Linked DNA regions of Drosophila melanogaster. The protein of the gene in region 1 interacts with the protein of each later gene in a pairwise test. Each region holds a gene or a part of one and is shown in the gene's direction. Other genes may lie near its edges.

The links. The genes of interacting proteins can lie anywhere in the genome.
Region 2: the proteins of Rilpl (region 1) and Arl8 interact in a two-hybrid assay, tested with the Drosophila melanogaster proteins (one study listed by BioGRID).
Region 3: the proteins of Rilpl (region 1) and nom interact in a two-hybrid assay, tested with the Drosophila melanogaster proteins (2 studies listed by BioGRID).

The regions. Positions count from the first base shown.
Region 1 is NC_004354.4:1,390,205-1,399,682, forward strand, and holds Rilpl (Rab interacting lysosomal protein like), read left to right. Parts: upstream 1-2,849; 5' UTR 2,850-3,339; coding exon 3,340-3,954; intron 3,955-4,019; coding exon 4,020-4,510; intron 4,511-4,878; coding exon of another isoform or gene 4,879-4,893; coding exon 4,894-4,989; intron 4,990-5,041; coding exon 5,042-5,167; coding exon of another isoform or gene 5,168-5,171; exon of another isoform or gene 5,172-5,348; coding exon 5,349-5,481; 3' UTR 5,482-7,133; downstream 7,134-9,478. Other genes in the region: CG32813 (uncharacterized protein), read left to right, coding at 45-1,361. UniProt on the Drosophila melanogaster protein: May have a role in lysosome distribution by interacting with Arl8.
Region 2 is NT_033777.3:8,123,075-8,130,335, forward strand, and holds Arl8 (ADP ribosylation factor-like 8), read left to right. Parts: upstream 1-3,530; 5' UTR 3,531-3,645; coding exon 3,646-3,768; intron 3,769-4,966; coding exon 4,967-5,121; intron 5,122-5,187; coding exon 5,188-5,349; intron 5,350-5,415; coding exon 5,416-5,536; 3' UTR 5,537-6,761; downstream 6,762-7,261. Other genes in the region: CG7878 (uncharacterized protein), read left to right, coding at 1-429, 485-993, 1,056-1,691, 1,749-2,064; CG9667 (uncharacterized protein), read right to left, coding at 2,238-2,869, 2,931-3,091, 3,155-3,177, 3,239-3,241. UniProt on the Drosophila melanogaster protein: Required for normal functioning of the late endocytic pathway including lysosome motility and late endosome-lysosome fusion. Not required for the delivery of lysosomal membrane protein-containing vesicles to late endosomes.
Region 3 is NT_033777.3:8,719,996-8,725,857, forward strand, and holds nom (numerous disordered muscles), read left to right. Parts: upstream 1-3,178; 5' UTR 3,179-3,246; coding exon 3,247-3,366; intron 3,367-3,437; coding exon 3,438-3,955; intron 3,956-4,138; coding exon 4,139-4,387; intron 4,388-4,455; coding exon 4,456-4,681; 3' UTR 4,682-5,362; downstream 5,363-5,862. Other genes in the region: CG11760 (uncharacterized protein), read left to right, coding at 1-2; CG8136 (uncharacterized protein), read left to right, coding at 1,545-1,566, 1,628-2,931; ouib (ouija board), read left to right, coding at 5,489-5,608, 5,657-5,862.

The DNA.
Region 1 (9,478 bases):
GAACCCTGTGAATCCTACTAAAACGCTGTCCATGATGGTTTCAGTATCATTTATTTTCCTCACACTTGCAGATGCCCCACTACCACGAGGGCATGGACACGGACGTGATCCTTATCAAGTCGGAGACAATTAGCGACAACGAGCAGACGGACAATGGCATGGACTGCCTGGACGAGGACGATGACGACGACTGCTTGAGCCACAAGGCGCCGGAGGTGTGCCTCGAGGAGGAGGACGACGTGCTCTTTCCAACGGACGTGCGCCAGCTGCAGCAGGTGGGATCGTCCGGAGCCGCCGGCGGTGGTGTCTCCGGAGGCTCCCTTCCCGGAAACATGTCTAGCAACGGGATTACCGAAACCAGTCGCCGCGCCGCAAGCTCGCCCGTGTGCTCCACGAAGACCTCGATTAGTTCCAGCGGGAGCTACGCATCAGCGCCCAAACCGGACATCACTATCCAGACCGTGGGCCACATACGCGTGGGCAGCTTTGCCAACATCAACAAGACGCTGCAGAACGGCGGCTCCGGCACAGGAGCTGTCCTATCAGCGGCCAGCAATGGCGGCTCCAGTGCCAGTGGAGTGCTGCCGCTCACAGCGGAGCAAGTGCAGCAGCACACGCTGCTGAACGGCCTAGGATTGTCCGCCGTGAATCCGGCTCAGTCTCTGCAGGCGGCCATCAATGCCGCCTATGGGTCCGCCGCTCCATCTTCATCGGTCGCCATTAGCAGCCGCCGCACCCCTCCCACTCTGCAGTTGCCACGCCTTCAGCGCGGAAACATCAACAATAGCCACCACACTGCCGGCAGCACAAGCAATTCCGCGGTGGCCTCCAATGGAGTGCAACTGTTGCTCAACGGCGGCCACCACGCACAGATGACGCACAACCATTTGGCGCGGGACAAGACAGGAGGCGTGGCCATCGGGGCGGCGGGCAGTTTCAACGGGTACAACGGACTGGCAGTGGCGGGCACAGTGTGCAGCGCCTTGAACAGCAGCGGATCCGGAGCCGGAAGCGGCGGGAGCAGTGCCAACAACAGCGGCGTGGGCCTGGGGATCGGCGGGGCACACACGTCGGGCAGCGGAGGAAGTGGCAGCGGTGGGACGAGGAGCCAGCACCAGGAGCTGATGAATTCGCTGAGGATCGAGGAGAGCAAGCGGAAAATCGACCTGATCAACGCCCAAATCGAATACTGGCAGACGCTCACCCGCAAGCTGAACAGTCAGGCGAATCACATGCCCAATCCTGCGTGCCCGTGCCACTTCCCTGGAGCCAGTGTGCTCTCGCCCGTCGCCGTGACCGCCGCTAGTGCCTCATCGTCCGCTTCCGCCAATGTGTTGCAGACGCAGGCCAGCACCAGCTAGTCCGCAGCCAAGGGGCGGTTCGAACTAGTCGGGGGTCCTGCGGGCGAAAGCGAAAGCGACAGCGACATCATCTCGATAGTGGACATAGATGATGGGCGGTCTAGGGAGGACGAGCAGTCGGAGGACGATGGCGAGAACCGTGACCAGGCCATAACGGACCTGACGCTACCCGACGAAGACGAGGAAGACGATGTAGACGAAGATGACTCACAGGATGCCTTGGTCAGGGATGTTGGCGTGGTGGGCGGCCTGTCGTCGCCAGATACACCGCCCCACTCCTCTCCGCCGCCAGCGAAGCGCTCGAAGCGCCAGGAAGTCACCTCCGAGCTCCTGAGGCAGCTGGCCCTGCAGCAGAATCAGGATCCCCAGGAGGGGTGCTAGTATTTTGTCTAGTTTGCTAATTTTATACTTGCTACCATGGATTGACGCAACCACTTTGTAACATTAATTTTACCATATATATTTATTTACGCCCAGTTTGAGTGCCAAAACAGAAACCAAGATTGGGGCCTTGCCATCGAAAATGCTTGCCAAAGGACCTGCTGAAATAACCGGTCATAACCACTCGCGACCCACTATTTATTTGCCAGCCTAACTGAAACATAGCGATTCATCTCATTTTAAAATGTCTTGCGTCGCCTATTTTTTTATTGCCTTTTTTTTTCTATACATGTAACGTGTTTATTTTTAAGTTTTCCTACGAGCTGCTACCAAAAAGAATAAGAAGAAGAAGGTGACTATCTTGAATGTACATTTACTTTACAAAACTAGACCTTACTTACTTACTTAATTAGAGATCGAGCAGCTAAGAACGCATGAAAATGAAATGTACAAATGTGGTTCCTAATCTAGTCCCTAAAGTCAAAAGTGAAGAACGAAAGAGCTACAGAAAAGAAATCGAAATTGTTACGCCTAGCCGAGAACTTGTGTATTATTTTTTTATATCGCTTAGATTGTTCCCCCGAGGAAAGCATTGAAGGAACTGTAGCTAATTTATGTACTTAATGAACCAGTGAAACCAAACCAATGATTTGAAATGGTGTAAAGAGAAGAAACTTGCTAGTCGCCGCTGCATAACTGTGTAAATGTGGCACACAAACCATTTAGTTAGTGTTAGTGCTACTGTACGTGTAAAATACAATTAATTGCCTATCCAGACCCAGTAACCACAATTTACAAGGAAGCACACACCAAACGAAACTGAAAACCAAGAAAACAAAACTATTTATACAATTTTGTAAACAAGAACTTATTAATAAAACAATGAATTTACTTTGTGGCCCAGCCTGTTGACTTTTGGATAGTAAAATTTCGTTTAAGGCTTAACATTTTGGCACTTACGCTCATTTTGCTCGCTTAAGCTGCTCTTCATTTGGCGCCAAACGAATTGGCGTTGCCCAACACTGACCAGCCAGCACAAAGCGCTACCAGACTGCGCAACCGACTGCTCATCTGGGAACTGGTTCGCACATATGGGCGCCCGCGAACCAGTTATTCGTTACTCATCAGTTCCAGTTCGGTTCAGCAAAAATTGTGCAAATAAATTGCGGAAAGTCGGATTGTTTATGTGGGAATCGGCAGCGAAAAGCGACTCGGCGGCAGTAACAACTAGAGTGAATGAAGTGAGCACTGCCACTCCCACGCACACTACTGTGCAGTCTGTGTGCGCCAACTGTGAATTGCGAAGTGCGAATTCCGTACTTCGGATTGCGGATTCCCCCCCTCCCTTAAAGCACTTGGAAAACCAACACCTGGCGCACGTACACGCACACGCACACTTGTCCTGCTAGCGAAAGAAAAATCCCTGTCAGCTGGTGCAGCGATTCCCGAAGCAACTCCGAGGAGCAGGACACCGTGGAAAGAGGCGACAACTGAAGCTGGTCTTCAGTGAACACAGAGTCCAGTGAGCAAGTGTGAGCAAGTAAACAAGTGATACAGCGCTTGGCAGGAGTCACAGATTATCTGAGCGACCACCTGGATGCCCGGCTTTCACCTCAATGAGATGGGTGAAATGGTCCTGGACGCCATCGACGACATCGGCGTGGTCGATGTGTACGACTTGGCCTCCGACATTGGCAAGGAGTACGAGCGGATCATGGACCGCTTCGGCACGGACGCCGTCAGCGGGCTGATGCCCAAGATCATCAACACCCTGGAGCTGTTGGAGGCGCTGGCCACGAAGAACGAGCGCGAGAACGCCACCATCCAGGAGCTGCGCGATAAGGTGGCCCAGCTGGAGAGCGAGAAGCTGGAGAAGGCCGAGTTCCGGCGGCGGTTCGACAAGGAGCTGGAGCTGATCGAAGAGCAGTGGCGCAGCGAGACCAACGAGCTGGTCGATCTCGTCTCCTCGCTGCAAGACGAGAACAAGCGGCTGGTAAAGCAGACTCAGGATCTGCAGTCATCGTCCGCCCAGAGCTCCGGCCTGGGGGCCAGTCTCACCGAGAGCATTATCAGCATGACCAACCACGAGCTGCACAGCGCTCTTTCGGATACTCAAGTGCTGCAACGGCTGAAGGAGCAGATATACAAGCAGCGCGACGAGTTGAAGCACCGCGAGCGTGAGCTGCAGGACAAGTACAGCGAGCTGGAGCACGTGAGTGTCCTTAAGGATAGGTGCTCATATTCCCAGCTAACGTATTCTTAACTAACCCTTCCCAGCTCAATATCCAGGCGGAGCGTCTGAAGGCATCAGAGCGAGATACCCGGCGCCGCCACAAGCTGATGCAGGCCCAAGTGAAGACGCTGTGCGAGGAGCGCGCCGACTTTCTTGCCCAGCTGCAGGACCAGAGCCGGGAGATCAACCAACTGCGCAAGCGATTGGGCCTGGCCGAAAAGGAGAATGAGGATTTGGTGGCCTCGTACGACGATGGCCAGAACGATCCCAACCGGCCGCGGTACACCACGCGCGAGCTGAAAGAGTTGATTAGCGAGCGCGATGAGCTGCTGACCACCATCGACACCCTCAACGAGCAGCTGGCGGAGCTGAAGCCACCAAGCCAGGCGAAGGGCAAGCGGCAGCGTCACTTCTCCAGCTCCGACGATAGCGATGAGGACGACGATGGTCACGTGGCGGACAACGATGATGACGACGACGAGGAGGAGGCGGCTGCCGAGGCGAACGAGCTGGAGCCACCAGCGGCCGGAGAAACGTGAGTGAGCCCATTTCTGTTACATCCTTTAGTTTTGTGGTCCCTCACCAGAGAAAACAAGAATTTATGAACGACCGCTTGAGTCAAAGTGATTAACGAACAAGCATTTTCAGCCTGAGTCATTCTTTTGTTGTTGCTCAGTGCTAACAATATTCAAATAGACCCTATGATGCAAACGTTTAATTGGCAGGTGATTCAGAGCTTAAACGTATATATTTGCGTGTTTTTTCGCAAGGTCAGCAGGTAACTGGTAAATGGCACAATTGGGAGTCAAACAAATCGTTGGATTCGGATCTATATGTTGATTATTTTTGAGTTTTTATAGCTAATTACTATCCCTAGTTATGATTACTTAAGTACATACATAGTGCATCGCTTTTCAGGCCACCTGGACACGATGCGCCCGTGCAGGGCCCTTTGCCCTACGAGCCGGACGATGCGCCCTGGAAGAAGAGCTCCGAGTCGGGAATACGCAAATTGTAAGTGGCATTCAATCGGCGTAGAGCTCTCGATTCACTTTCTGCATTGTAGCTTCCGGAAGCTGTTCTCGGACCCGTCGGACGGCAGCAACACGTTCCCGAAACGTTCCTTGGCCACGCTCTCCAAGATGGCGCTGTCGGCCACGCCCGGTTCCGTTTCCGCCTCCGCAGCGGCGAAGTAAGCGCCCCTTAAAGCATCCGAGTTGGCGTGCATTTCACTTTTCGTTTGTTTTCTGTTTTTCCGTTTCCGTTCCATTCCGTTCCGTTCCGTTTGCACTGCCCCCCGCACCCCTGCATCTTGCATCCTAATTTATTATTTATTTTTTACTTTTACGTCTTACGATTACGTTTACATTTAGTTTAGGCAACAGCCTGTATCTGACCCTGTCCCTCGCCATTCACCTGCTCCGCCTGAGCTGTACATACATAGTTTACACACTCGATTGCTGTGCCCTCATAATTCTAAGTTGTTATGCAATTTTGTTTACGTAATACGCGTTTTATTCGTAACTCGTAACCCCTAACTGTACTGGATATATTTAATACGAATCCACTTTGTATTTTTCGTACCTTCGATTTATTCTAACTTGATTAACGACTACCACATAAGACTCCAAACATACCACAGCCCCCACATGTGCACGTGTTTCAAAAATCAAGATCGAGAACGAAAACGAGAACGAAAACGATATCGAGATTGTGCAAAGATTGCCGAGTGAGTTTTTAATGAATTTAGACAAAAACAAGCTTAGAAAGACAAACAGTCCTCCCAGGTGCAGATGCAGAGAAAACGATTCGGTGAGATGAGGAGACGAGACGAGGAGGACTCTGGTTCTGGGACCCCAGATTTTAGAAAGTCTAGGTAGAACGGGAAGATTTTGCTTCAATTATCCGTAGTGTAACTGTCCCTAAGACCCCTGCATCTATCTAGATCTTCGGCTATCGCCAGCCCGTATGAGTATTTTAGCACTCTCATAGCAGTTGCCCCAAGCGGCCTTATAAATATATTACAAATTTATCAAAATACGCAAACCTTAGAGCGAAAGAAACCTAAAAGTATATATAATTGATATATAATTAGCAAACGTTACAACCTTAGCGCATTGTTTGTTGACTTGAATTGAACTAACTAACGAAACCAATCTCAGCATAGTAGATTCCATTGATAGCATTCGATTGCACAAAGATGCCAAAAAGCGAAAATCTCCGCGTTACCCCATTGCCGGCCGGCCAGTCTAAATCAAGGAATGTTTTAGCCAAGAGTTTTACCATAGACTTAGCCACTGACCAGCTCGAATTGTTGTTACCGCACCCAGACGACTTCGCCCAGAGCCCCCACTCCACTTGAAGCCCAGTGATTTCGAGGAGATCTCAGTCCGATCCTCGTTCATAGCTAGTATCCATGAGAGAGACGCCCATGTAGTGCAATTACCAATATGGTGTCACTTCCCGCTCCCCTTCCACTCACAAGCACAAAGCGAGGAAACTCCGTTTACATATCAGCTCCATCGCTATCGTCGATGCGAACGTGCCAAAGACTAATGGTCAGACCCTATGCCCCCATTATTCGCAACTCCCCCCCACTACCCACACCACGCACCGAACACCCAGCCCACAACACCCGACTTACCAATCTCAATTAACCCATCTCGTTTCGAACACAACAAAGAGTGGCAACTGAACTTTTATAAAATTGAACACGAGCGCGCAATGGCATCGATATGAAAAAGTGGACTAACGTTGAGTGGGTGAAGACCACGAAAAGAAGATGGAGAGAAATTGAGTATTTGGTGAATTAATGTTAACTAAATTTATATACACATATACACATGCATTATACATAATATACTTTACTATATACTATGTAATACCGTATTATATGGAACTATGACTAACCAAAAAGGCAACAAGGCAACAATTATACAAAATTCAAAGCGTACCAGGGTGGCACTTGGACCATGGACTGCAGGAGCGACCAGAGCGATAGCGAGCATCGGATCGGATCGGATTGGATCGCATCATGGTGAACCGCATCAGAGGGCGACGCCTCCGCATCCGGGTATCATCTGCTCACCCCTGTACGTACATCAAATTTATGAGTGGCTTCCTTTGAGCGACCACCAAAATAAACTTATGAACCGTGGAGTGGATTTCGAATGAATGATTTGGGTTGGCGGCAAGTGGAGCACTCGCTGTGCGGAACCTAAGGTGTTTATTTCATTATTTAACATTACTTATAAGTTCGTTTTTAATTTGGCTTATTTTCGATTGCTTTCAAAATTATTCCCAAGGTATTGTAAGAAACAAGTCGAGATCGGCAGAGAGTTCAAGATCATTGTCATCATCGTGTGTTTCATCGTCAGAAACGAAGGATGTTTGAAGACCATCTTCAAGTTCAAGTATTTTCACGTATCATAACATTTCATATCAAGCCTTAAAGGTTAGTAGCGACTTCAATTTGCCCATAAACACATTTCGGGGTGCTCTAGTCATTGGAGTTCTGGCTTCCATGTCGCCCGAGCCTGTAGCCTCTAGCTACTGATATCCTTTGCACAAGGACAGTCGGTGGGGTTGTATTTCGATCGTGCTTTTGGTACTAAGAAAAGGGGGTGGATGTCGAACAAGGCTGATTGCGTAACACCTGGCAGTGCATCCCATGGGATTCCCCCGCGCCCGACCACCCATCGCGGTGGTTGGAGCTTTCTCGCCACGAGCTTTTCGACTGAGCTTTACCCCGGGGCTCTGGGCCACCCACTTACCAAGCCACGAAGCCATCTTGCAGCATCGTCAACCCTGCGCATCCGCGTCCGCATCCTGCATCTCGTGCGGTGCGTAGCAGCATCTCGTGCCCCGTCCTCGAGTCCTTGCTGGGTCGCTTCTGCCGTTTACTGGGCGCCTGATCTCCATGCCGGGTTTGAGGCGTATCTAGGGCGTGGTGGTTGTTCCGGCTGGACGACCTTGAGCACCGCCCCTCATCTGCGATGGCGTTTTAATTGCCCAGCAACAGGCGATTTGTTGGTGGTGGTGGTGATGTGGTGGCGGCTCTTCGTTCGGGGATGCGTTCTGGCCATTCTCAACGGGATTTTCACGCAGTTCCAATTAAGCAATTAAAAATCTGCCACCGGACTTGGCGGCGAGACGTGGGCGGGTTCATGGTGGCCGGAGACGGCGTTGTCAGCTTTTTAATTAAGAAGATGTTAGCGTAATAGGATAGAAGGATATGCGCTGCGAAAATCGTAGGTCGAAATGTGCGCAGCTAATGAAGAAGGCCCCTGTGTTTTTGTGGTCACTGGGAGTGGGCCCCACAATTTCCACTAATTGCCCTGGCCTGGCATGGGCTGGCCAGAAAGAAAAGAATTAAGAGACGGAGCGGAGATAAAAGCGCTTAATGAGTTTCTGCAGAGGCCCCGTGCGACGATTTCAGGGGCCTTAGTCAGTCGATTTTTGAACAGGCTCGCAGCAGCCGCCGCAGAAGCTCCGTTGGATTTGGATTTGGATGCAAGGGGCAGCCCCACTCGAAACTCCCGCACTTCCACAGAGCCAGTACAGTGAATTCTGGAGATGGACAACTGCGCAAGTTGTGCTTTAGGCTGGGACACAGGACTCATTCGACGCAGTGAACCTGACGGAGTGCAACCAGTCCTACATGCTTATTTGTCTCGATTACCCAATGATACATGTGTATATATATGTATGTATATTGCATGCACCTAACCGGCTAACTGCATCGAAATGAGAGCGCTGGAAATACCGCGGTGCCAGCCAGCGAGGGTTCACTGTGCGTGTGCACACTCGCCGCAATCCAGCACCGCTCGTCGACTGCTGCTCCTCGATGAGCGCCTGAGCCCAAAAACTGTTTTTTACACAAGGACATTGCCATCTCATGGCCACCCTAAGATAGAGAAAGAGAAAGAGCGGGAGCGCACACTTTCACATCTTTCTCTTGCAGCGAGTGTGTGCGAGTAGTGAACGCGGGCCAGAGCGGGATGGGCGGAGCGCTGGTGGAGCTCTATAGCTGGCCCGCTCCCGCCGCAACATGCTGCAGCTGCTGCTGGTGCTGCTTTCTGGGCGCCTGTTTAGCGGCCAGCGCCAGGTTGGAACAAGAAAGCGAAAGTGTTAACGCTCGCGTACATCCGCTGCACCGTTTTCCGCTCCACTGTGGACCGCTCCCGGCGCTCCTGTGGGTCGTCATGTGTGCGCGGGTGTGTGGGAGTGTGTTAGCCGTCCGACGTTTTCGAGTTGGCCACATCACATGTGCCTGCTGGAGGCCATCCGCCGCGTCCAGGATGGCCCCCGTACGCCTCCAATCCTCCTCCGGCACCGTTACCGGCGCCCTATCGCCGTCCCTGTTTGCCTGCTTAATTTGCGACGCGCATGACGCGAATGTGGCCGCCGTTCGGGTGAATTCTACGAGTTTTGGAGCCGTTGGCTTGGAGCGCTTTCCGTGAGATGTTGCAGCGGGCTTATTGGAATGAACATTCTAGGAACT
Region 2 (7,261 bases), on another chromosome or scaffold:
GCAGGGCATCGTGATAGTCGCGACAGTGCCGGGGGAGGAGGAGGAGACTTTAGCGAATCCTTGAGCATCGCTTCCGAGATGGTCGGAAAAGTTATTGGAAGAGGGGGCTCCAATATATCCCGGATCCAGAACGACTTCAATGTCCGCGTCAAATTGGACAAGTGCGACTTAATAGTCAAGATAACTGGTAGCATCCAGAGCAACGTCATCGATGCTATCAATCACGTTCGCAAGCAGGTCACTAATTCGGGTGATAGGGGACAGGATCGCGATAATAGGGACCACGGTTCCAATGAAAGATATGACGGAGGCGGATACGACAGATACAAGGGGAATAGCTACGAGTTCAATCCCACTTCTTCTGAGTCCAATAAGGACAATGGGGATCTTACGGGCATCATTGATTGGGAAGCCCTGAATAAAGCTTCGGTGAGTACAAAAGAAAAATTAGATATTATACGTTCTAAACGATGTATCCTTACAGATAGCAGCTACTGCGGCACGGTGGTCCAAGTGTCCACCGCTAACAAAGAACTTTTACAAGGAGGCTCCTGAAGTGGCCAATCTGACAAAATCGGAGATTGAGCGCATTCGCGAGGAGAACAACAAGATAACAGTTTCTTATGTTTTCGAGCCAAAGGAGGGGGAAACGTCACCGCCTATTCCAAATCCAGTTTGGACCTTCGAGCAATGCTTTGCCGAATATCCAGATATGCTTGAGGAGATTACCAAAATGGGCTTCTCCAAGCCCTCGCCCATCCAATCGCAGGCGTGGCCCATTCTCCTCCAAGGTCATGACATGATCGGTATCGCCCAAACAGGCACTGGCAAAACACTAGCCTTCCTTTTGCCCGGAATGATTCACACCGAGTACCAGAGCACGCCCAGGGGCACGAGGGGCGGAGCTAACGTTCTGGTGCTGGCACCCACTCGGGAGTTGGCTCTGCAAATCGAAATGGAGGTCAAGAAGTACTCCTTTCGTGGCATGAAAGCGTAATTATCCTAATCGAACATGAAGTGAGTTCCCTTTTTAACCAAAATAACACAATTTGCAGGGTTTGCGTGTACGGCGGTGGCAATCGCAACATGCAGATATCCGACTTGGAGCGCGGTGCGGAGATCATTATCTGCACTCCGGGACGCCTGAACGATTTGATAATGGCCAATGTCATTGATGTAAGCACCATCACTTATCTGGTGCTTGACGAGGCAGATCGCATGCTGGACATGGGTTTCGAGCCGCAGATCCGGAAGGTGATGCTAGACATACGTCCGGACCGTCAGACCATAATGACGTCGGCCACTTGGCCACCAGGAGTACGTCGTTTAGCGCAGAGCTATATGAAGAATCCCATCCAGGTGTGTGTCGGATCGCTCGATCTGGCAGCCACGCACTCGGTGAAACAAATTATTAAATTGATGGAGGATGACATGGACAAATTCAACACCATTACATCTTTCGTTAAGAACATGTCCAGTACGGACAAGATCATCATATTTTGTGGACGCAAGGTTCGTGCTGACGACCTATCCAGTGAACTTACGCTGGATGGTTTCATGACCCAGTGCATTCATGGTAATCGCGATCAGATGGATCGTGAGCAGGCTATTGCCGATATTAAGTCCGGCGTCGTGCGCATTCTGGTTGCTACCGATGTGGCATCACGTGGCCTGGACATTGAGGATATCACGTAAGCAAATTTTTCGAGTCGAGGAACCCATTAGTCATTATTTTTTCATCCACAAAGACATGTCATCAACTATGATTTTCCGCACAACATCGAGGAGTATGTGCACCGTGTTGGTCGCACCGGACGTGCTGGCCGACAGGGCACATCAATAAGCTTTTTTACGCGCGAGGATTGGGCTATGGCCAAGGAACTAATTGAGATACTGCAGGAGGCGGAGCAGGAAGTGCCCGACGAACTGCACAACATGGCTAGACGCTTTAAAGCCATGAAGGACAAGCGCGCTGCTGAAGGTGGCGGTTTTGGAGGAAGAGGTGGTCGTTTTGGAGGCGGACGTGGCGGCGGACGCCGAAATTTCGATCAATTTCAATACTGATTCATTCTACATTTTCTAGTTATAAGAGACTAGAGCGCATTGAAGTGCCTTGCCAAAAATTGTTTAACTATTTATCTATTCCAATTATAGATGATCATAACCCAAAACATGCCGTGTTAAAAGAACACGCGATTTAAATGTATCAAACTAAGAGTTTAGAATGTTTATTGAGCTTAGTTAGTGCCACCGGCGTATTTCTCCAGCAGTTCCCGTTTCCGCTGGCGCAGCAGTGCTTCCTGTACATCTTGTTGCGTCGGCACGGGAACGTGAGCGGTGAACTTGGATGCCAATAGGCCATGAGGATCCTCCACGGCGGCTCGAGCCTTGGCATCCTCGATGGCTTCGCGTGCTGGTCCCGAAAGGGGATATATTTCATCCTCCTCTTCGTCATCGATTATGCGACCATCTCTGGCCATTTTCTCCCGCCATTCCTGCACGGCCTTCTGAATGGCCGCTCGTTCGATGCGTTCCTCCAGAGGGATCAGAACACCATCTTCGTCATCTCGATAGCCGTAGTATTCGGCATCTATGTCCTTCATTAGTTCAGCGCGTGATTTCCTGGGTGGCGGCGGAGGATCCTGTTCAAAGAGCTCGCGAACACCCGGCAGATCCTTGGCGGCTCCAAAGTATTTGTAGCCTCGATTGCCGGGAACTTCACGGCCCTCCGCATCGAACATCTTGGGACCATAGCGTCTATAGTGGGGGCCACCCAATGAGGATATCTGATTTTCCCAATGCCGTTTCTCACGCAATAACTTGTTGATTTCATCGTTCAGATCGCGAATCCGGAATTCTCCCAAGCCAGCTATAAGTGGTCGCTATTAGTGTATATTGTTAGGGAGAAATAAATAAACCGAAATAGGTACCATTCTGTATCTGGGCCACCTTCTTCGATATGTCGCGTATTATCTCCAGGCGGAACTTCTCACATCTGGGCAAATCGTGGCACTCGGAGGCCAAATAGGGCCGGCGTTCCTTTTCACCAGATTCCACTTCTTTTGCGGCCCGCCAACGTGCCAAAGTTGTCCTGTCGAAAATAAGCGGATGAGTGCTGGAAATCTTATGTTATACGTATATCCGGGTTACTTACATTGCCTTCTCTGCATTGCGCGCCTGAAAATATACATGTATTATTCATTTAATTAAAATTAATAAAATTTTCACATCATCTTACCATTTTGTTTACTAACTTCTTCTGCCTTAATTGCCAGTCACAGCGAACTATACGGAAATCGGTTACACGTTATCGATAGCAAGTACAGTAAATATTGTCCAGTAGCGATTTCACATATATTTTAAATGCAATTTATTAATAATATTCCCGATGAAACCCGAAGACATAATATTATTTATTTGTACTTAATATATATATACCATATGAATTTTATTTTCTCTTAATTGGATACATGCTGAAATAAACGATTACCATTCACTACGAATACTACTAAGTACACTACCGCGCACTTGGCCACACTGACCTGCCCAGTTGTTTTTTCACGACAACATTTACGCTCTTTGGAAAAGGAAACCTTTTTTCGCGAATTTCAAGCAGATCCCGACCAGAAACACACCTGCCCCAGGATGTTGGCCCTCATCAACAGGATCCTCGAGTGGTTCAAGAGCATCTTCTGGAAAGAGGAGATGGAACTCACGCTAGTGGGGCTGCAGTTCTCCGGGAAGACGACGTTCGTCAATGTTATTGCAGTGAGTATTTTCGCAGTGGGTGTGTGCGAATTCGTGTGGGTGTATGGGTGAGAGGGTGGTTTTTTTTGTGTGTGGTTGTCTGTTGTGTGGGTGGGGAGGGGGTTCACGGAAAGCCGGGGGATCAGCTACTACTTAAAAAGCATTACAAACCCCCAGTGACAAAGGAATTGGTCTTAGCTTGATTCCCCCACTCTAACATTGTTTATTTCTTATCTTTTCGTACTCCCAGTTTCTTTCACTGCATCCGTAATTAACGCTGTGCTAACCGTTTCCTTTTAGTGGTAAAGTTTACCGTTCCTGCCGCTGTAATCAATAAACCTACATATAGCCCATATATACGCATGTTTCTCCGCACAATGACGCCATTATCAGCACTTCAACCCCTGACCCCGTATTCCCGTACCGCCTCCCTGGTTTTTTTCACACATTTCTGCACGCTGATAATGCGACGATCTCAAGTTACCATTTACTGGAACTCGTAGATAGTTGCATACACTTGCCAGTCGTTGCGGGAGGTGGAGTAACTACTGCCTTTGTGACCGCCTGACTTATTATGAGTCATGTGAATTCGATTCAAATGTCTGCCCGCATCTACGGGAAATTTGTTTGTTCAAGTGCTCCCGAAACGGAAATATTCCCCTGCTTATCACTGCTATTAGACTCCAATTCCGTGTTTGCATTCAGATTCGTGCATTAGTGTAATGTTCAGGTTCGGAATGAAAACAAACTTGTGGGTGGCGCCAATTAGTCACTTTTCCCATTTCACTAGCGACTGCTAACCTATAGTATACCTTTTTAATTTAAACTAAGTCACAGAAGTAACATCTTGCCATTTTAGGAGCTTTCGATTCTCTTATTGAATGCATATGTAAGGTGATTGATGCTGATACAGAACAAAGATTTATGGGTTAGAATCAATTATCAATTTAAGTGTTGTATGTTGAATTAAATTTAGTACCAAAAGACATTGTTTGATCAATACTTTAAGATATTACAATAGTTATTTATTTAAGAGCATTTTCAAAAAGAATAACAAATTTTTTAAGGTTTTGGATGCTGTCATGTGTAAAAAATCAATTTTTTACACGAGTTTTACATTATTTTGGATTGCATACTTCTAGGCTTTGTTCTTTGCTAATATAAAAGTTGTATTTTATTTAAGACACGATTACTTACTAATTATTTTTGTTTCTTGTAGTCCGGCCAATTCGCTGAGGACATGATACCCACAGTTGGATTCAACATGCGCAAGATCACCAGAGGCAATGTGACTATCAAGGTGTGGGACATCGGAGGCCAACCTCGATTCCGATCCATGTGGGAGCGCTATTGTCGCGGCGTTAATGCGATTGTGTAAGCAATAATGATACTTAAGCAACAATCGGTAGTCAAGTAACACTGTAATGTATTAATCAACAGCTACATGGTGGACGCAGCCGATCTGGACAAATTAGAGGCCTCGAGGAACGAGCTGCACTCACTGTTGGACAAACCGCAGCTCGCCGGCATTCCAGTTCTCGTGCTGGGCAATAAACGAGATCTTCCAGGCGCTCTCGATGAAACCGGACTCATCGAACGAATGTGAGCGCCTTAAAATTGTTAAAACTATTTAAAAATTATAAATTAATCATTTAAAATAAATTGCAGGAATCTATCGAGCATACAGGACCGTGAAATCTGCTGTTATAGTATTTCCTGCAAGGAGAAGGACAACATTGACATCACGCTGCAGTGGTTAATTCAACATTCGAAAAGCCAAAGTCGTTAGATAACGAACACCGACATACACACAACTCCGTACCCTCTACACTCACACACTTAGGCACTATATCTCACACATATTTTAATTTTATTGTTTTTGTATTCATTATATATTTTACATTTCGCTTATATGCTTCGATGCGGATTATTTTCAACTGGAATTTTTGCTTAGCGAAAACTGGAATGCGAAAGCAGCGGAAAAGCATAAATTATAAAGACGTTTTAAACTATAAATATATATTAAAACAATATGAATGTAAATTCAATTAAGCAAGTGAAAGCCATAGTTAAAGAAATTCCATGATTGATTGTAAAATATGCAAAAAAAAAATTGTTGAGGTTTTCTAGCTGCAGCCAAAAAACCGAATTGCGATTCTTAAGCCTTGTCACGCTTTTCCTATACTCATTAACATTCACCTAGTTAATTATGATAATTTATATGAAACAGCAATGCAAATTATAAACTACAATAACCAAATTTTGAAAACTGATAACGAGCAAGGCATACAAACAACAGCAATAAAACGAAAAATAAATGAAAAACCAATAAAGACAAATTATAAAAACATTACAAAACCCCAAGTGAGTCTCATAAATTACAAATAACTGAGATTGCGGCGATTGAAAGCATCAAATATTCCAAACACTTGTTCGAATGTAATTTATAGAGTCAAGACGACCAGCATTAGTCGGCCACCCAAATGCAGACGTTGCAGGCTAACAATTGATAGATGCAGACAGCCCTATGAACGCATAAATATTGGAAAACGAGGTGCCATGGCCCTTGGCTAATTAGAAATTCTGTGTGCAGAATCAAGTCACTGCTACCGGAGGATAGCCACGGAGGAGGGGAGCAGGTGGACAAGGGCTCCGACTTCCAGGAATACGCGTCAAGCACGAGCCGTGCGATTGAGTGAGTCATGCTCAAATGCTTGCATGCCCCATGTCTCTGTAGCTTCCTGCTTCCTTTGGAAGTCCGAATACGTAGCAATCTTCCTGCCGCACACATTGCGCGTTCGTTTCCTAAGTCTTTCGTTTTGTCGCTCGCCTCATATTTCAAATTGCGTTAATTACACTTTTAAATGCGGGGTATTAACAGGGCCAGCGATAAGCATCTCGCTTCGCAGCCATTTGCCACAAGCCAAACATTCGGCCACAACTCGAGGCGAATCTCCGAAAAAAAAAGAAAAATATACCGCTAACGATGTGCTCGTAAATTTTCATACCAAAACTATAAACGAGCATCAACAACAAGCCGAAAACATTTGCGAACATTACGCATATGCCCTGTGCTTAGATGTCGTATAAAATCGTAAAGACAAATGGACAGTGCGGTTCATAGCTTTAAAACAACTAATTGATATACTATACATAGAAGTGATGAAACAAATGGTTCGTTGTTTGTCATTGAATTGACGTATTCATTAACTGATTAGTTGACTGGTCTTTAATTGCAAGTGGGTTTATCTGATCTGAAGTTGTCAGCGATAGCAAATTGAATCGACTTTTTTATGCTGATTAATTATTGCAGAATCAATTGGTTAGACAAGTGGAAGTCTTTCGAATAAATGGCTTGTGACTCTATTCGCTTTAACTTTATGAACCCCACTGTATTCGACGTGTAAAATAAAAATGATATTCTTGCTGATGCCACAAAGGCAGACGGTGCTTAGTTCTTTCTGCTTAATTTTCAGCGATTTGTGCGACTTGTGCTGATTATATAATGACAAAT
Region 3 (5,862 bases), on another chromosome or scaffold:
AGCCATATAGACAGAAACATCCAACAGCCAACTAGCAGCAAATATACATGCGAAAGTTTAGCAATCTATAAGATCGAAAAAGGATAATATGCGGTGTAAGGAAATTTAATGAATTTGAAAAGCAGTAGGCAGCTGAATTGCTCATGGCCGTGGAGAAGAGAAACCAAACAGAAAGAAAAAAAAAACAAAACAAAACACATATGTAGCATATTAATAATTATGTATAGTAAGGTTTATGATAACATACACACACTCTTATATACATATATTTAACGGTTTTATATACAAAAATTGTTAACATTTAAGCATCAATTGGAACCAATATAAGACAACAAGCAAAACCTAAAACTTGAATAATTTTCACAATTTTAAGATGAAAATTTTTTTGTAAAAAGAAAAATATCGAAAAACAGCCGAAAAACAAATTTGATGTGTGGAAATAATAATTTATAATAGTTCACAGATAGCTCGAATCTTAAAAAGAATTGTAAAAAAATCAGTGGAATGTCTCACAAAATCTAGTCAGCATCAAAATCATGAAAAACAAATGGCCGAAAGGCCATTAAAAAAATTCATTACCACTAAGAGTCAGCGTTTAGTAGTTCATACCAATATTCAAAAGGCGGAGAACAACATAATTAAGCCCAGTTAAAAGTCTAGACCATGTGTGTACTTTAATGAAACTACTTTATATAAACCTAGCAAATAGCGTAAATAACATTTTCAAGACGTCACTAAAAACAATGCAAACCCGAGCGGGCAACCGTTTACTAGAAAGCGAACAACAAATTAGCTAAATCATATAAAACATTTATAGAGTGTTAAAAACTAGGCGAAAACCCTCCATTACACTTCTCCCCAATTCAGCCTATTGGCAACTCGAAACGCCCTTTAAATCACGCTCAATTATCCCCGCCTGATAGGATCCGAGGATTGCAGCTCCTCCAATGCTAGTCACTAATGTTCACAAACATTTTCTAAGCTAGACCGAAGATTGTGTAATAATTTGATAAGACCTTTGTGTGGTTTCATAGCAAAATAACGCACAAATCGATAACAAAAACTCTCAACAGTCCACAAATCTCATGCTTTTAAAACAAAAGAAATAATTTTACTGAAACCAAACAGCTGGAAGCTAGAAGCTGAAAGAAAACCAAAGCCACATCCTACGTTGAATAATTTACCTGTATAATATTTATGTCATTTCGTTAAACGCAAAATGTTAACATACTTTTAAAGCGCGTGTAAAACGGATAGTTAATAAAATAACGACAACAATATTTAAAAGAACATATACACTCGATGAAAATGAATATTAAAGATCGAAAAAAAGAAAAAGGAATCTGTTATTAGTAGGCCGTGGGTTCAATAAGATCTTTTCGAGTATGATAGGTGTATTTCGTTTTGTGCCTCCAAAATTTCAGATATTATTCAGCTACACACAGACAGGCCTCCCAAATTTGTAAGCTCTGTAAATTCAAAACCAGAACTGCTGCAGGCCAGTGGCGAAGTTAATTTGTCAGAGGAAAACTCAAGCCATCTCCATGGATAAAAACCACAAGTCGGGTGAGTCAAGCCGAGTGTGGCATCCTTAAGTTGTTAAAACTATGTGTGTTCTTTGCTCCAGAAGAGGGGTTTGGACGTTCAATGTCTAGTAGCAGTCGCCGCGTCATGTGGAAGCTCAACGAGGAGGAGGAGACATTCGACTCCTTGGTCAATTATCGGCGGCTTCCTTCGCGCAGCCTAAACCGAAGTCAGGTGACCGATGTGCCCACCAAGGGACACACTACCTCCGAAAATTGCCAGCTGCCAGCGCAAGAGTTGGAAACAAAGAGCGCCACCAACGAACAAGGTGCATTGGGCATAATGTCGGTTAGCCTACCGCAAACAACCAGGAATTCCCATCAATCGTCGGCCACGTCACTGCCGGAGGCCAAGGGATGCACTGCCACCGAAAACTGCCAGTTGCTAGCGCAAGAGGCGGAAACAAAGAACGCCAGCAACGAACAAGGTGGATTGGGCAAAATGTCGGTTAGCCTGCCGCAACAAAACTGGAACGCCAATCAATCGTCGGCCACGTCACTGCCGGAGGCCAAGGAGATCAGCTCCAAAGAGCAGGCGATCATCTACTGGCGGCGTCTTTTCGATGGTATCCACAAGCGCCAGCGTGGCGAAAGAAAAGTTGCAGCAATGCAGCCCGAAAATACCACAGATGTCGTGCTGACGTCCAAGCCAAACCTGGCATTGCGCTACAAGCCCTCCCATGAGTCGCTTAAAAACAAGCGGATCAAGGACCTGGCTCCTGAACGATGCCCGAGCACGTCCCGGGGATCAACGTCCTGCAAACTGGTATCGGACCTCAAGATGGAGACGTTCAGCCTGCCGCCGCAGCAGACGTGTGTGGTGCGCGAGGTGGAGCCTCGGTTTGGCCAGCGCCGACGCATGTTGTTGGCCAACGACACGGATTCGTGCTACTCCGGCGAGCTGGAGGTCCCCAAAAACAGTCCCGTCCAGGAGCCAGGACCCTATCCGCGCAGCGAACTGATCAGTGTCCATGTCTCGGCGCCCACCAGCTCCTCTTTTACGGGAGCAACACGGCGGAGTCTGTCTCCAACTAGGCAGCGCACTGCGACGAGCAAGGTGGCCGCCGGGACGAAGGGCGGACCATCACCAGCAGTTGGGGGCAACAAGTGCTCGAGCGTCAGCAGCGGGAGTGCAGGTACCAGCCAGCTGCCTAATTTCCGCCAGCGGCAGCAAGAGCTCCATCGCTATCGCGTTATGATCGAGCAACGGCGCCTCGATCTACTCGAGCTCAAGATAGCCCGCGAACGCGAGGAGGCGCTGCACAGCGAGGTTCTGTTTCACAAGGAACTGCAGATCAAGGAGAACATGATCAAGGTGTACGAGGACAACGACTGCTCCAACGCCTAGGACTTCCTTTATTCCTAACTCTTTCGACCCCAAATTCAGAAAGGTATTTTACACTTGGCAATGGCCCTGGCCTCAGTAGTTCAAAACACTCAGTCAAATAAAACCGAAATTCATTTAGACATCCCAATCTAGGTTTTTTATTAACTACCTGAGAAATAAGTATCAAAACTGCAATATATGAAATTCAACTTAGCGGGTAATTTCAAATCTAATGTGCCCGTTCGTTTACAGCACTGGCAGTGTGTGCGCATCGCTGTGAATGGACATTAGCCCCAAACAACTTTTTATTTCATTTGTTTAAACCGAAAACGTGAAATGTTAATAAATGTGTGCCGAGTTTGCGGCAGGAGCAGGCTGTGCCCCAAAGCCGTGGAGCTCTTCAAACCTGGCAGACAGGATATTCTTCGCCGCATCCAACTAATAACCGGAATTCTCGTGAGTTAAGGAATCAAAATGGATCGCGCAATTTACATATGTGCGAGCGCTTCCTTTTTTGTATTCTGCAGCTTCAGCAGATTCCCAATGCTCCGGATATGGTGTGCTTTTGCTGCCAGACAGATCTGCAATCGGCCATGATTTTCCGGAGGCAGTGCATCCTGCAGCAGAAGAAATGGGTGCCATTGCTACAAAGTGATAAAGTGGGAGCCAGCGAGGAAAAGAAGGTGGAACCCAATGATCCCTCAACCAAGAAGAAAACGACCAAGCGGCGAAGGGGGCGACCCAGGATGCCACTGGAAATTGTAGATATAGTCGTAACGAACGAGAGTAAGGCTTCAGCAGGTGAATCAGTTGGTGGTGATGAATTTGATCAGCCGGTGGAGATCTCCAATGAACCGGATGCCACCGATAGCGATGTTAATCTGGAGGAAATAGATCTTCCGGATGAGGATGGCTTGGAGTCGGATCACGATTTACCCAATGTTCAAATCCACAAGTGCGATACTTGTGGAATTATCAAAAATAATAAATCATCTCTGGTCAGGCATCAGTTTGAACATAATGGAATAAGACCATATCCCTGCAAGTAAGTAAGAATCGCGACGAAAATATACATTTACTGATACTTAAATAGGTCCGTCGTCTTTATCTTTATCTCTTCGTATCTGGTCCATTATCACGATTTGATTAGCATACATTGTGCCTACATACATACATATGTATGTAAATTCTTTTTCTTTGTACAGTATCTGCAATATGTATTTTTCAGGGAGTGCCCAAAGACCTTTCTGGTAGCGAGTGAGCTGAAGGCACACAATCTCACCCATCACACCTTGGAGCCCCCGTTCGCCTGTCGCTACTGCGATCGTCGCTACTTCTCCGTGGTGGGCAGGAAGAAGCACGAGCGGGTCCACACCAACGAGCGACCATTTGTGTGCGATCAGTGCGGCAAGGCCTTCACCAGGACCTGCATTCTGAAGGCCCACATGGCGGTCCACCAAGTTGTAAGGAAGTATAGGTACTTGATGAAATTAAAAAAAAACATGTCGAGATACATTCTGTTATAATCTTTCATTCCCGTTTTAGTTGCGATGTCTGCGATCGTTCGTTCAGCCTGAAGAAACATCTCGCTACGCACTTCATCTCCAATACCCACAAGCGGAATGCTGAAGCCGTCACCTCGTCGTCGGAGTACATGTCCATGCTCAGTTTTGAATCGGATGAAACCTGGTCCCAAGGCACTCCACTGACCACTTCCATTGACGAGGATCTGGTGCAGTCGCAATTCGACCTTTTGTGTCAGGAAGTTTAATACATCTCAAGATGCCATATGTTTTATCAATATACCAAAAAAAAAAAAAAAATTTAGGTAAGAGCTAACCCACAAAGACTTAATAACAGCTGAAACCACAAAAGACAATATCAAATATGGGTCTAAAAATATTGGTGACATTTTTGTAATTCCTTAAAACTCAGCAACAAAGAGACAACTTGGGAACAAATTTAGCTTTTTTTAGCACGTAGTTTTTAAAAAACACTTTACAGTGGCCATGTTATTGCAAATTTTAGTTTTTGCTATTTTTTTTTGCGTAATTTACATCTGCATTGCAATTGCTTCCTTGAATATAACAAAAGTGCCTATATAGTCTTATCTTATACATACATACTTTATTGGGCTAGTTTTAAAATAAAATATATTCAGACATGAGGTACAAAAATGAACATTGAATTTAGAATCAAATCTTTTTCGAAATACATTTTACGAAACATTTTACGTGGATTATTTCGATTTACCGAAACAGAAATATGAAGCTATATGTTTTGTTTTCAAAAATTGATCCTGCGCATTATTAGCATGCAGGTCGTACTTATTTCAAGCACCCATGAAATGGTTCAGCTTAACGATTTGACCAATATTATTTACACCTATTATTAAGTTTTAATATTATAAGCAGTATCTGTTTTATCAGACTGCTCCAGTTGTTAACAGATCAATAGCTATTTAAATAAAGATTTTGACTTTCAAAAATCCCCGCCTTGAATGAATAATTTATCTGGTTTGCCTCAAAATGTAATCACCATACAATTGCCTTTCCATCAGTCGAGTTTAGTGATCGAGATGCTGAACATCGTGTGTAGAGTCTGCGGAAGGCAGAAAATCTGTGAGAAGAGCCTGAATCTCTTCGATTTGGTCAACCGAAAATATCTAAAGCACTTGCACATGATAAGCGGACTAAGAGTGAGTTAAAAGACGTTTTAAAATTGAGATAAATAATATCAGCACCAGTTGGTGGATTTGGACGATGTTCCTGGTTTCATGTGCCTTTGCTGTCAGGCGGAACTCAGATCGGCATTGGCATTCCGGAAGCTTTGCATTAAGACCCAAACTAAATGGCTAACCATCGAGGACGACTCTTCGTCGGGTGATGAAGATACCAATGACAATTCGGAACTGGAATCGGAAAAATGCGCATTCAGCGATTTTGGGAAAAA